2 linked regions of the Cricetulus griseus genome follow. The protein of the gene in region 1 interacts with the protein of each later gene in a biochemical or structural test. Links are inferred from orthologs where the notes say so. Each region holds a gene or a part of one and is shown on either strand. Other genes may lie near its edges.

Region 1 (10,624 bases):
TCTAGAGATATTTAAAGTTAGCACAGATAAGGGACCAGGAAGAAAGCATCCTGTGAGAAAAAAATACCCTATTCTTTTTCGGTGAGATTGGCAAGCTACTAAACAATGGTAAACAGAAAAAATAATAATAATATATGTAAAAAGAAAACAATTTAAGGTTTAAAAAAAAAAAAAAGTCAGGCAGTGTTGGCACAAGCCTTTAATCCCAACACTAGGCAGACAGAGGCAGGTTGACCTCTTGGTTCAAGGCCAGCCTGGTCTACAGAGGGACAGGCTCCAAAGCTACACAGAGAAACCCTGTCTCGAAAAACAAAATAAATAAACAAGCAAGAAAGAAACAAAACAAAACAAAACAAAAAGGACAGTTTGAATCTACAAAATCCAGATTATGAAGTCTTGAATCTGAAGGTCTGCCTGGCACACGAGGCCTTTAGGACCATTAGCAGCACAGGAGGAAAAATCATGTCTGACTGTCCCACTTTTTTATAAAAATTATACTACCATAGGATATCACTGTACATGAAAGAATATTTTATTCAACAGGAGACAACAGGGTTGTGTGACTTCTGAAAATTCCTCAGTAAGAGAAGGGATCTTAGTTCCATGTTAATTAAATCATCAAATCCAAATTTTAACAGATGAGACAAAATTAAGTTAAGCCTCCCGTTCCTGAAAACATCATTCCAGTCCATTTCTGGGAAAGAATTATGTAGTAAGACCTGTTTGCTCCTGCTTTGCTCCAAGCACTGTCACTGACCCACAGCCCCAACCACTAAGCAGCATTTCTAATAGCTGTCAGACAACCACAGCATACAATCCATCCATCACCTACACAGAACCATGAAGATATCCTGCTGTGCCTATGATCTACGATGTTAACATGTTAACAACCAGAAATCACTATGTATGAAATGGTATCAGCAGGCTAATACACTTTTTAATCATTTCAAATAAGCATCTTTGTCAACTCATTAAACAAATACAAACACAATATAAGTGTGCTTTTAATGAGGAAGATTATAACGCCAAATTTTTAAAAAGTTACTTTGGATTCTCCATGTTGACTGGTAAAACTATAGTAGTACATGTGTTATATTACAGACTTATTCAGGACTTTATTCTGAACTTAGAAAAGACAAAATAGTATAAAGCTGGCAGTATGAGCCTCCTAATTCTCAATTTCAAGTCTGTATTTGAAATGGATTTATTTCATAAGAAAATGTTACAAATAATTAAATCTTACTCATGCAACCTTGAAAATAATACACAACCCTAAGAGGGTAGGTTGCTTGCTTTTGTTATTAACTAGAACTATAAGACAACTTTGACAGAAAAAAAAAAACATTAATGATAGCTCTACTTTATATATTAATGTAAAGGTATAGGTCTCCATGTTCACTTTAAAAGCTTAAAAGTTAACCTTTAAAGCTAAATTCAGTGCTAAGTAAATTCCAACACATCAAAAACTTATGCCAATCTGCAAATCAAAAACAGCAAGATCTGTAAGCCCTAGAATGAACAAAGTCCAGGAATCTCAAGGAAGACCCTGCTGACTTTCCAACCTGTACCACCCTGAAGACTTGCTGTTACAGAATCTCCTGAAATAATCATTCACTGGATCCACTGAAAACAAAAACAAAAACAAAAACAAAAAATTCTCTCCACTCTACTTCTTATATGAAACAGCAATCACTACAGTATCTTCCACTCTTGAGATAGAAGCCAGCCAGGGAGCACTGAAAATTATTAGGCTATTTTAGGGCTGAATACAGCAATTGATGCAGATGGAAAAGTGGCAATCAGACATTTCTATCACTTTTTCAGCCTTCTGACCTCACAGCAGTTACAAAGCCAAGGGACTAGAAAGAGCCTGTAAAATACTTAATTTAAAAAAAAAGAAAAAGTTTTCAGATAAATTACATAAAAACAGCAGCCTTTATAAACACACTATAAGTTTTAAGGTTTAAAAGTCAGTGGGTGCCGGAGTATAAAAAATAAAAGAAAACGGAACAAATGAATGTGTGGCTTTAACTGCAAAATAATAACAGGATGTAACAGAGTTCTGAGTATCCTAAGTGACCAATCAGAGCCTAAACATAGCTGAATTCCATCCCAGCCCCAGCACGTCCCTAACACAAGAATAAAACCCTTCTTATCTTGTTCAGCCATGTGTCGCCTGCCACAAACTGCAAAACAGAACAACGCCCAAAAACCAGCTAGTCTGACTTCAACTAGGGACAGACAGACTCTGTAGTCAGAAGCACCACAATGAAAGAACTGCAACTCATACAGCTGGCCTGGTGGCTCTGAACACTCTACAGAACAAAGCCATACCACATACAGTACTTCAAACTTGAAAGGGTCTCTGAACACTGGAGTCAGTGAGAGAAGATATACAGAAGGCTGAGGGGGGGGAGCTAGATTTTATATGAGGAACTTTGCTAAGGCACCCTGGCATACACTTATTACTAAACCAGTACTTCCAGATTTCACCTCAACATATATTCAAACCAGGAACTACTCTCTTAAAGAGAAAGGGCTGCTTTACATTTGCAGAATAAGTTTAGAAGAAAAAAAAAAAGCAGTTATCACATATTAATTCTCTTTTTGAAGAAAGAAAAAAAAAGTCAACCCCCAGTGTCTGACCAAGAACAGGATTTCAATCAGTTTTGAAATAAACTTTCTATCATCTTATTTTACATGGCTCAGTTGTCTAAAGCAACCTAGTAAAGGTTTACACTGAGAAGATTTAGGCCTAAGCCCCACAAAGCATTAACATTATTTAGACTGCTTCCCTTCACCAGCATCAACTTTTTTTTCCACTGTGGTTTGATACAACAAGCCTTTAAGTATGTTGGGAAGCAGAAGCAAGCAGAACTCTGTGAGTTCAAGGCCAGCCTGGTCTACAGAGCAAGTTCCTTGACAGCCAGAGCTGCACAGAGACAACCTATCTAAGGTGGGGGAAAAAAACAGAAAAGAAAAAAAAAAAAAAAAAAGGATACAACACATGATTTCATAGAATGTGCATCCACTGTTCTCACACAAATATCTAAGAGCAAGAACCCTGCAGGAAGGTAGCCCATCTCTTCAGTCCCAGCTCTCTAGAAGCTGAGCAGGTGGACTGACTGACATACAGCAACAATCTGTCTCACAAAAACAAAACAAAAATTGGGCTAGGGAGATAGATGGCTCAGCAGTTAAGAGCAGAGGACCCAAGTCAGGTCTCCAGCATCCAGGGTAGACAGCTCCCAATCACCCAGGGAATCCTAAAGCCACTTCTAGTCTCTGAGGGCACCTGCACTCAAGTGTACATACCCATGAACACACACACATTGTAGAAGTAAAAATACAAAAATAAAACTTTTTAAAAACTGAATGTTTGGCCGGGCGATGGTGGTGCATGCCTTTAGTCCCAGCACTTGGGAGGCAGAGGCAGGTGGATCTCTGTGAGTTCGAGACCAGCCTGGTCTACAAGAGCTAGTTCCAGGACTGCCTCCAAAGCCACAGAGAAATCAGGTCTCGAAAAAACAAAGACAAAAACAAACAAACAAACAAACAAAAAAGACCAAATTGAATGTTTATTGTTCATATGCAGAATTAAGTATAAAAAAGATGACCCAATGTTTTATTTCCAAGATACCAAAAAGAGAACAAAAATCCCTGAGATGCAAAGCTGGTAAAAAAAAAAAAAGTACATGGGTGCTTCTGTGTGACTTTTGTATGCAATGATTCAGTGACTCTAAAGTATTTTTCTACAAATTAGACTCCGAAGCATCTTAATGAAAACCAGGACTACATCAGTAGAAAGGACAAGAACTGAATGAACCAGAAGAACAATTATATGGACACCTGTGAGTGATTTCTCAGAGGTGTCAGAAACAAAACACTAAGAAAGGAGAAGGAATAAGGATGGGGAGGCAAGAAGACACAAAACAACTACCTCTACATATACGTAAAGTGTATTTGCAGGAAAACTGAAAACAAAATCCTGCCTAGCAAAGTACACAAACAAAGGGTAAACATAAGTAGTTTAAATATTTAAGGGCATCTTTTAGGTGAACGCTCATGTGACACTGAAAAGCATCAACAGGAAAAGGAAGTTCTGTCTCTGGAGGAGCTGTTATGGTATGATAATGGAATTTGGATCCTTTAAAAATCAACAGATGAGTCTCACAATTGGGTGAGACTCTCTTATTAGGAAATTAAACGGCTTTCTGCAGGAGCATTATAGACTTCTGGCCTTCTGCTTCAATTGTTTGTTTGTTTAATAACAATTTAAAGGCTAACTTAAAAAAAAACAGCAAGTTAAAATTTGGAAGTAACATACAATGTCATAATTAAATTGAGAAATAAAACATGTTGAAGGAACCAACTTGCTTTCACTGAAAAGTACTCAAAAGAACTCTTTAAGTGTCAGAGAATTACACTAGGGCCACATATTCTATACACAATGCCATGCAACCCTGATTAACAAACAAGATCCACCTGCCATGCCTAAACCAGACTTAGGGTTTACAGCTTTAAATTCGAGAGCATCTAGAAGATGAAATGCAAAAAAGAATAATTAGAAGCAGGCCCCATGGTTTTCCCTCATTTCCTTTAGCTCCTGGAAACTGTCCCCAGCAAGAGCCCGTGATTTACTGGTAGTGTCAACATTCTGGAAAATTAGGTAATTAATAATTAAACACTGTGCAGGTCACATAGAAAGAGATCAGATTCACAAATCACCATGAAGCAGGATGAAAAGTAAGTTCACAGACATAAACTCCTAAAATTAAGGGTCTAGAACTACCACGGGATAGGAATCAACCTGATGATGCACCAATACCCACCGACCTCGGGCTCTGACCTTCACCCAAAATGACCTTCCGCTGGTTCCAAAATGAGTACACAATCCTAATGTACCCGACAGAAAACCACAGCTATGGTTTTCCTTAATTTCCTCTGAGAATATGGGGAAAGTTTCTGCCCCCCCCAAAAAAAACAACTGCATTTCCAAATTCAATCAACCGGATAACTTGGCAGCAACCCTAGACTAATTGCACAGCTCCGAAACAACCTTCTTTCCTATGCCTGTCAATTGCACTAGCTGAAGGCAAGTCGGCAATCACCGACTCCCCTGCAGCGTGGGGCCAAAAACAGGGAAGGTTAGCGACCGAGGAACTTCATACCCACCTGTCCGTGATAGTTGACTGTGTGCCACTCATTGGGGCCCTTGGCGAGAGGTCTTCTTTTTATCCAACTTGCATTTTACAGTAACACCTCCACACCCCACCCCCAGTGCTCTGGGATCAGGCTCAATTTCGGCAGGGACACAAAAGTCCAACTCAAAACTCCATTCAGTCATCTAGAACATCCGATTGCAAGGGGTCAAGGAAAGGGGATGCGGGTTGAAGCAAAACAAGTTATCTCCCCAAACAAACCGAGCAAGTCGGCCACAGGCGAGTTCTAGAACTAGGAATGATCTTCAGCAAGGCACGAGGGGAAAAACTTCGTCAGAGGGAAGTCGCGAGGCTTGGGACGGGAACTCGGATCCCTCCGAGGCTATGGTAGGATCGGCTCGGGACGGGCGTCGCCTCCTGTCCCGAGTCGGCGGAGCCCGGCCCTCGGGTCCCCGCTCTATCTGGGGCTGCCGGCCGCTCGTGGCCGCAGCCTCCGCCGCGTCTCGCGCCGTCCCGCGACGGGATCGCACCGCCCCATGTCCCCGGGCCGGGGCCCCGAGCTGCTCCGCGCCGCCCCCACCCGGCACCGGCCGCCGCGCTGACAGGGACCCTGTCTCAGCTCCGCCAGCAGCTCCCCATCCCTCGGAGGCCCCCGCGCTTCTTCCGCAGTGGCACGACGGCTCCTCCCCGACGCTCTGGTAGGCGGCGGCTCCCGCGAGGAGCGGGAGGGCCCGGCCCGGCCCGGCCCGGAAGCCCGGCCCCCGAGAAGCGGCGGCGGCGGCGGCGGCTGCTGCTCCGCGCGGAGGGCCGCTCGCCGGGTCCTCAGGAGCACTGGCGGGAGCGCGCACGACAGAGGGGGTCCGCCGGCGGTGACGGGCCTTGCGACCACTGCGGGCGCGCGCGGGGGTTCCGGTTCCGGTTCTGTCTCCTCGGTCCGGCGCGGCTGGAGCGCGCCGAGCCGGCCCCTCCCCCGCCGACTTTTTGGGCCCTTCTCCCTGGGACTTCGGGAAGCCGCCTCACCCGGGATCCCTCCGCTTCCCGGACTCTCCAAACTTGCGCGGATACTTCCGCGCAACGCTGTCAAGGGGGATGGCGGGAGCGAAAAGTAGTTCTGCGGGTCAGAAGGAAGCTGCTTCTCTCTCCGCCGCCAGCCGCTGTCCTCGCTGTCCCTGTATCCCCTCGAGGTGCAGTCCAGAGTGTAGGTTCCACCCGGGACAGCAGACGAGCCATTCCATAATCCCGGAGTTCACGTCTAGAGGGTCTTCGGGGAATTCCCCGCCTCTCTTGCGCTTGAAACTTTTATTCTTTAAGGGAATGTACTCGATTCCCGGTGTCAGATGCTTTTGATGGCTGCACACGAGCCCGGGTGCACGGGCCCTGACAGTGTTAGGCAAACCCGCACACAGACAGGTTTGGGGGTGGTCCACTCACCTGGGGCACCTGCTAGCCCAGCCTGCAGCCGCGGGGTGGGGTGGCCAGAAAAGACTGAGGAGAAAGGATCTGGGCCCACATGAAGCCAGGAGTTCTTGATATAAATATTGCTTTTAGGCTGTTTTGCCTTGGCAAAATGAACTGTATTATTTGCCAAATTGAGAAAACATGGTGCTTTCCACAGCAAGTTAATAAGCTTGTTGTGAAAAGAGATGGGAGAAGAAATACATCTGTCCTGTAAACAGCATTAGGGATCTCTTTGAAGAGTTCCCAAATGTTGTTTTCCGGTTTCTTTTTCGATGGGGTAGAGGCATGCAGCTACCCATGCAGTGTTATGACTGACTAATTCTCTGCCTGAAGAAATGAAGTATCACGACACAATATATCTCTCCAATTCTGCCTGCAAACGTCAAATGGCTATTCCTTTTATACAATTATCTTTAAACTTCTGAGCTTCAAGCCGTGTCGGTAGGAAGAGACTTCGGCCATTTTGTGGAAATCAAATCTAATAAACAGTGCATGTGGAGAGGAAACAGTTGCCTCTTAATAATGTTTCCAAGTCATTCCACAACAGTTCGTGAAAGGATCATTATCCCTGAATAGATGCATGAGCTCAAGGTGACGTTAGAACAGGGTACAAAGGGGAAAGATAAACAGACGCCTGAAATGACTCTCTTGCTGGGTTTTTTTTTTTTTTTTTTTTTTTGTTATGTTATGTTCCGGGCACAGCCAGCTAATTTTGTAATGTTTATTTTTGGAAAGAATAGAAGCAGATTCGAGTTCCAAGCCACTTTCCTAATGATCAGACCTGGACACGTTGCCATCTGCTGGTAAATCCCAACATGGCAACACTATCCTGAAGACTCCACTTGTTTCTACCTATAGCTGGAAAGAGTTCCATAAATCTATATACAGTAAACAAAATGCAAACCTTATGCCCAAGCTTACTCAAGTTGTCCTGAGTGTACTGTCCTACTCTCCCTTGTTCTAATAGTGTTACAATGCAAGTATTAAATGAATGGAGTCTGATGACTCATCAAATCATGAATTTTAAAAATAAGTTCCCATCTTCCTTTCCAGTCTGCCTCAATGCTTAAGTTTCAGGAATAAAACAAACTGGGAACATTTCCTAATTCACCTTCTCTTCCTTGCATACAAAACCTTTTGGCAAGCTGCTTTCAACATCTTTCCAAATTTAACAACCCCAAGGTTCTAACTGTGAGCAAAGAAGGCATTCTGCTGTGGGAAAGCCTCAGAAGATGGTCGGTCAGCAAAGGACTGAATAACCAGTGGTTATTCACTCCCAAACTACTGTTTCAATGATGAAAATCTCTAATCACTTGCAAGGCATTGATTTTATTTAAATATCCTAGGTAAATGCCTCATTATAGCTGTTGGCTGCTCCACTGTCCTAAAACCTATCTACCTATAGAACACACAATCAAGCAAACCAAGGCCTGCTCCCTAGGTCATACCCTTTACCTAGGAGGTAGCACCAATGACCTAATCACTGAACACACAGTTTTCCGATGAGATGTCCTCTAAGCCACATTTGTCCTCTTATCTATTACTTCAGTGTGCTTACTAAGGACCTACTGTGTCCAGGACTGATCTAAATAATAGAAATTCAATCTAGCTGAGTATGGTAGCTTACATCTCTAATCCCAGCACTTGGGAGGCTGAGACAGTAGGATTACTTTGAGTTTGGAGGCAGTCTACATAGTGAGTTTCAGGCCAGCCTATACTACAAAGTGAGGCCCTGTCACAAAAAAAGAGGGGCGAGGATATAGCTCCGAAGTAGAGTGCTTGCCTAGCATACCTGAAGCTTGGGGGGAGGGGAGACAGCAACTGCTCAAACAGGTGGCAAATCAGAGAGATATTCTTCCTCTTTAGGCAAACTATTTTCTGTGTGCTGATTGTTATCTCCCATATAAAAAGTAGGAATGGTTAATGCCAAAGAGCAGATTACTGTCACCACCAAGTATGAATGGATGTCAACATTTCTACAGGACAAAGGCTGCTTTTCTTGGCAAAGCCACAATAAAGAAAGATACAAAGGCAGACTCTGAGTCTATAAAAAGTTACTTTATTTTTATAAAATTTAGTACAAATCATATTGAAATATAAATCCTTCTTGAGCAATATCAGTGATGATTACACAGTAATTCAAATGCAAGTATTCCCTTTTGTCTAGAGACACATCACACGCTAATCTGCCCTTCATTTACCTGTGTTGTAAAAACAGGCAACCTCCTAACTGCTGAGTCATCTTCACATTGTTCTCTAAGAGAAATGTCTTCATGGTTACTAGTTAGAACATCAAGAAAAGCTGAAATGCAGAATTCCTCCCCCCTTATCACTTGTTCAGGTGTCTTCTTATCAAATCAAATAAAATAAAATCTACAGACATTCCCTTGAGTGTGCCTCCAACAGAAAGATCTACAATCTTTACCTCTGAGGGGTAAGGGAGAAAAGAGCCGGCATTAGATTAAGCCTGCTCATCTGGTCTGGAGCAGGTTGCACAGTGCCAAAAGAAAAAGCCAGTTTTGTTTTGTTTTTCCTTTCTGCTCGTGTGCCAAGCCACTCTTTTGCTGAAATCAGCATTCCCCAGGTTCCAATTCTGCTCAGTTTTGCTGGAAAGAAGCACACTGGCATATCTGGGACACAAATCATAGAAAAGGGAGCATGGTGCTATCTTTCCTGAAAACAACAGCCCAAGAGCCAAATGCAACCCCTTTAACTATACAGCAGCCACCTTAAAAGGCCCCCACTGTTAAAGTGCCTTTCCATTTGCAAGAATGTCTACATGTTCCCAACCTCTCCCCCATGACTGGTTTCTGTAGCCAATACCATCTGTAGTCACTCATTGAGTTAGTGTCACCAGTGACTATAGAATGAACTGACACTACTTGCTGACCATCTGCCTTGCTTCAGTAGCACCATTTCCTGGCTTACCAACTGAATTAGCCAATCACCATTGATCTAAATAACATAGTAAAAATAGCAAATACATTAACAAATAATACTTTTTTTTTTCATTAAAGCTCTACATTAGAGCCAGGCATGGTGGCACAGGATTGTAATCCTAGTACTGAGGAGACATAAGCAGGGGGACAGAGTTCAATGCTAGCCTGAGCTATACAAGCAAGACCATATATCAAGAGAGGTGGAAAAAAGTGATAAAAAGAAAATGTATCTGCAACAAAGAAAAAGGAAGAAAGGAGGGAGAGGAAGAATGAAGGGAGGAAGGAAGGAAGGAAGGAGGGAAAGGAAGGAAGGGAAGAAAGAAGGAAGGAAAGAAGGAAGGAAAGGAAATAGCCTCTCATCACCCTGAGGCTAATAAATACATTGAAATCTTTGGTTCTAGTTTGCAGTATGTACCAGAAGCTGAAACCTGAACTCCATCTCAAGTACAGTGGAATCCGCATGGTAAATCCCCATGGAATTTAGCCATGGCCTCTTATGCCTAGCAGATTAATTCACAAAAGCCCTGAGAACTGGCATACTTTTCCTGGTAGGGCAGAACCCGTACAACAGGACTAAGTAAATCTAAATCTATCCACACCTCATTCATCTTGCATCCAAAGCATTAGCTCTATGGGTTTTTTTGTTTGTTTGTTTTTTTGTTTTTGTTTTTTTGTTTTTTGGTGTGTGTGTGTGTGTGTGTGTGTGTGTGTGTGTGTGTGTGTGTGCGCGCGCGCGCACGCGCGCATGCACGCGCACGGACACATGCACAAGAGTTAACCTAGCAAGCCTGAATTGCTTGCTATCCTTGCAAAGGCCTGCTTGCAATGTTGGCCCTTGGCTGGCACCTATGAACTGCAACTTAGAGAGGGCTCCCACCAGAAACTGTTAAGATTGGCTCACTACTCCCAAACTGTTTCTGAAACAATATGGCTTATGCTGAATGCCTGTTGTGGGGAATCTTGAATTTTGCCTTGTGCTAGGTAGGTGCCTATATGACCTATTGCCAGTAAAAGCTCTGGGCACCAAGTCTTTGATGACTTCCATGTGTGTTGTCATGAATCACT
Region 2 (3,959 bases), on another chromosome or scaffold:
TCAGCAGGCCCTAACAAGGATTCTGGGTGCTTTCTAGCCATCCATCACATTTCAGGAAGCCTGAGGAAGAGCTTGGCCAATTATCACTGGATGATAAACAACACACATTAAAACACCCTTCTCCTGCCACCCTTGTTCTGGACAAAGCATATTGTTCATGAAGACCCAGCCACAACCTGTTTCAGATGCCTACATGCTGCCCCAAGATGCAAGGCCATCGCTGCTACTTTGCATTTCGTAACTTCTATTAAATAACAAAAGTAGAGAAAGTGCATAGTTCAATAGGATGCCATAGTAAAATGGACTCCTTCCTAGTGCCTTCTAAACCATATTTAGTCCTTAAAGGCTAAAAATCCTCCCTGCCCCCAAACACCATCTAAACGCCTGGGTAGAAGTGAGCCAGAAACCTTTCGCCCAATCCAGTAAGTTCAAAGTTTGGAAAACAAAGGACAGGAGAGCCCAGATCTGTGTGTCGGCCCAGTCTGCGCCTTACTCTAGGCAGTAAACAGCTATAGTTCTATAAAGATCTGCTCGTACTCCATCGCAGACATTTCTTAAAAGAAGTTCAAGGGTTTGTTTATAGAAACAGCCTTTGTTAACTACCCCAGTGGTGGGGCCGCACGCCGTGCGCAGCCTCCATCATCTCCCCCTCGCTAACTCAAGACTCCGTCATGATTTTTCGAAGTTAATAGGCACCACCTGCATACATTCTGTAACCATTACTCATCAGCACGCCCTCACCTCCCCAGCCCCAGCTCGGAGACTGCATTTAAACTTTTAATTGTGTTCAAATTACTCTATCATCTCAAAACTACCAGTATGCCACACTGTTTTTCTCGAGAACAAACCCCCTCCAAACCACCTCCCTCCTCCTGACACTGTGGAGAGTGCTCACTCCCAGACACACACACACACACACACACACACACACACACACACACACACACACACACACACACACTCACTCCTACCCAACACCACCAAAACAAAAGCTATCAGATTGCAAGCGATAGCGAGCGTGGAGCGATACTGCTTATTAAGTATGTACAAAGGAAGTGCGGGGGGCGGGGGGGGGGGGCAGTGCAACACAACTCTGGCCACAACAAAACCAAGGCCAGAGCTCCGCGCTTGCAAAACAAAACAACCACTCCTCCACTACCACACTGACGCTGCCCAAACCAACGCACACGACACCTCTCCCCCGGGCTAGGAGTCCAGGTGTCCCCTCGGGTCGTGTGGCTGTGGATGCCCCTAAACCCGCGCTGAGAACACACGTGTGTGGAAAAGCACATCGGCTCTGCTCATGGGTTGATGTCCCGACCACGTTTTACTTAGACGCTTTTAGGAAGAAGGGGTGTCCAGGGCTGGGTAGAAACTTACAGACTGCCCAAGGACCCTCAAAGTTGGGGATCCAAGCCTCGCACCCCCGAAGGAGTCTGAAGAAGGTCCCAAGCTCACGCTTCCCTAGGGAAAGCCGGGGAATAAACCCTGAACCCCAGAGCCACACCGATGAGTCCCGAGTCACGAAGCCGTGGGGGACGAGGGGACTAGACGCCCATCGTATCATGTGAGATGATGCTAAAGGCCAAAAACCCTAGGGACCTTATGGGCCAAACAAGTTGGACGACAGGAGGCCATGCCGTGATGTTTGGAAACGTTTCCTGGGGCCGCGAGGCCTCCCCACCCCGCACCTCCCCCTCAAGGACAACTTGCACCCCGCAGGGCAGGAGGCTCCCGCTCGCCGCCACGGCGCACTCAGTCTACCCCATGAGCCACCGGTGAAGCCTCCAAAGGTGCTGTCACCGTGGTGCGCTGCGCGGGATGGGCGCTGGGTGTGGAGATGCCCGCGCGCAGGGGTGAGGAGAGACGAGGGTGGCAGGGACCCTGAACCCACCCAGACACCAACTTCCCCACCAAGTGCCCACGCGCGGGAGTGTCCCTGAAGAGCCGTGGAGCAAGTGCTGCCCACCCACCAGGCCGCGCGCGGGACAGCGCTCCCGGGACAGTGAAAGAGAAAGCCCTGAGGCCCTTCCTGAGCACGGATGCGCTGAGCCAGAGTCCGTGGGGGTCCCGAGCCTTAAGCTCCCCTCCTGCCTTCAGTGAGAGCCCCACCCTCCGCTCTCGAGCTCGGGAGTCCGACAGCTGCGCCCGTGGCAACTGGGTTTTCCCAAACAGGGCGCAGCCCCTCGGAGGAAAAGTTCCCGCAGTGGCCGCGGGCGGCGGGCAAATACTCACTTTCTCCACTCGTCGGCCACAGCGAGAGCGCGGCAGAGAGAAACACGAGCCCCCACAGTGAGGTCGGGGACCCTCCTCCGGAGCCAGACTTCATTCCTTTTATTTGGGACGCAATTCCCTTCTCTCAAAAGAAAAAGAAAAAGAAAAAAGAAAAGAAAAGTCTCCAACTCAGTCCTCACTCTCCTTCAAAAACAAGAGCGCAGGCGACGATTCTCGGAAGGCGGCGTGGACGGGGAGGGTGGCGCGGGGCGGCCCCTTCAGCGCCGGCAGCAGCGGCCCACGGCGCGGCGGAGTCGGGAAGCCGGGGCGCGCCGGGGCGGGCTGTCGGCGTCGTCGGCCTCCATTTGCAAACCCAGAGATGCAGAAGAGGGGGAAAAACTGTACGGAGAGAGGAGCAAAGCCCAAATCGCCACAGGCGAGGACAAACGTCCCCAGATGCCCGGAGGGAGCAACCGGCCAAGCCTCCGCGGCGGGAGAGCGCGACGCAGTTGGCGAGACTGGTCCGAAGTCCCGGGCGCGGGCGAGGTCGGCGAGGGGCAGATATGCGGAGTGGAAATGAATGAGCGGCTCCCCCTCCTCGGGCTCCTCCTCCTCCTCTGGGCTCCGCTCGCCGCCGCCTCCTCCTCCTCCCTCAGCGCCGCCGCCGCCGCGAGCTCCTTCCCAAATCCAGGACACACACACACAAAGCGGCGGCCGTGCAGCGCTCTGAGCTCCCGCCGCCCCACGTCGGCCCCCGCCCGCCGCCGACTCCGTGCGCGGGGGCTCCGGCTCGCTGAAGGTCAAAGCCGAGCGCGCCGCGCGCCGTGGAGCTCTCGCAGGCGCGGGAGAGGCGTGGAGGGTCCGAGGAGAGGGGCCGAGGGGCTGCGAGCACCAAGCGCGCCGGGACAGGCTCGCTGGCGGCTTCCCTGTCGCTGGCCTCTCTCGAGTTCGCCCGGTGCGCTCCCTCCTCCTCGGTTCCCCCCTCCCCCGCTTTTTTTTTTTTTTCCGCTCAGCGGAGTTAATGCTGGTAAACAAGAACCTCAGCCTCACCGCGCCGCCGCCGCCACACACTGGGGGCTCTACGCGCGCGCTCTCGGGGCCGCGCACACGTGCCCGCGCGCACACTCCAAGCGTCCACAGCCGCAGTCCCGGCGCGCCGAGGGCCGGGCCCCGACTCGGCAGGCGCCAAGAGCCGGAGTTCGGGATCGCAGGGACGTGCGGAGCGGAGCGCGGGCGTGGGGAGCCGGGCTAGGGAGGCACCGCCCCCCGCGCCTCCACCCGCGCTGGCCCCCGCGCGCACACAGAGCCACGCGCGCGCCCACGCTTCCGCCCCCACCCGCACTGCGCCGGCCAGCCCTGTACGCACCCACCCCTCCCGCAGGACTCCAAAAAACAATGCCCCGGGCGCCGGTGGGACTCGGTGGCCCGGGAGGTGGCAGGGCGGGCGGACGAGCAGGCGGGCTGCGGGCGCGGTGGGCGGGGAGTGCGGCCCCGAGCTTCATTGAAAACAACAACAGCGCGGCTGGAGAGCGCGCTGGCCCGCTCTGTGAAAAAGCTTCATTGTTTCTTGCAGCTGTTGCAAAATAAATAAATAAGTGCATGCATGCAGCATTTTTTCGCAGCGTGGTGGAAAGCCCAGACGCGGCGGGAGGGGCACACCTGGGGAAAGGGGACCCCCGAAGATTGCTAAGCAGGGCACTTTCCACGCCAGGCTCGGGCGCCCGTGGCGGCGCTCCCCAGGTGTT

Evidence for each region. The genes of interacting proteins can lie anywhere in the genome.
Region 2: the proteins of Arhgef12 (region 1) and Igf1r form a complex in vitro, tested with the Homo sapiens proteins (2 studies listed by BioGRID and IntAct, with this or other methods). The link is inferred for Cricetulus griseus from reciprocal best matches to the Homo sapiens genes ARHGEF12 and IGF1R.

Annotation. Positions count from the first base shown.
Region 1 is NC_048597.1:154,790,371-154,800,994, forward strand, and holds the start of Arhgef12 (rho guanine nucleotide exchange factor 12), read right to left. Parts: upstream 5,473-10,624; 5' UTR 5,208-5,472; coding exon 5,176-5,207; intron 1-5,175. UniProt on the Homo sapiens protein: May play a role in the regulation of RhoA GTPase by guanine nucleotide-binding alpha-12 (GNA12) and alpha-13 (GNA13). Acts as guanine nucleotide exchange factor (GEF) for RhoA GTPase and may act as GTPase-activating protein (GAP) for GNA12 and GNA13.
Region 2 is NC_048596.1:129,270,003-129,273,961, forward strand, and holds the start of Igf1r (insulin-like growth factor 1 receptor), read right to left. Parts: upstream 2,801-3,959; 5' UTR 2,330-2,800; coding exon 2,236-2,329; intron 1-2,235. UniProt on the Homo sapiens protein: Receptor tyrosine kinase which mediates actions of insulin-like growth factor 1 (IGF1). Binds IGF1 with high affinity and IGF2 and insulin (INS) with a lower affinity. The activated IGF1R is involved in cell growth and survival control.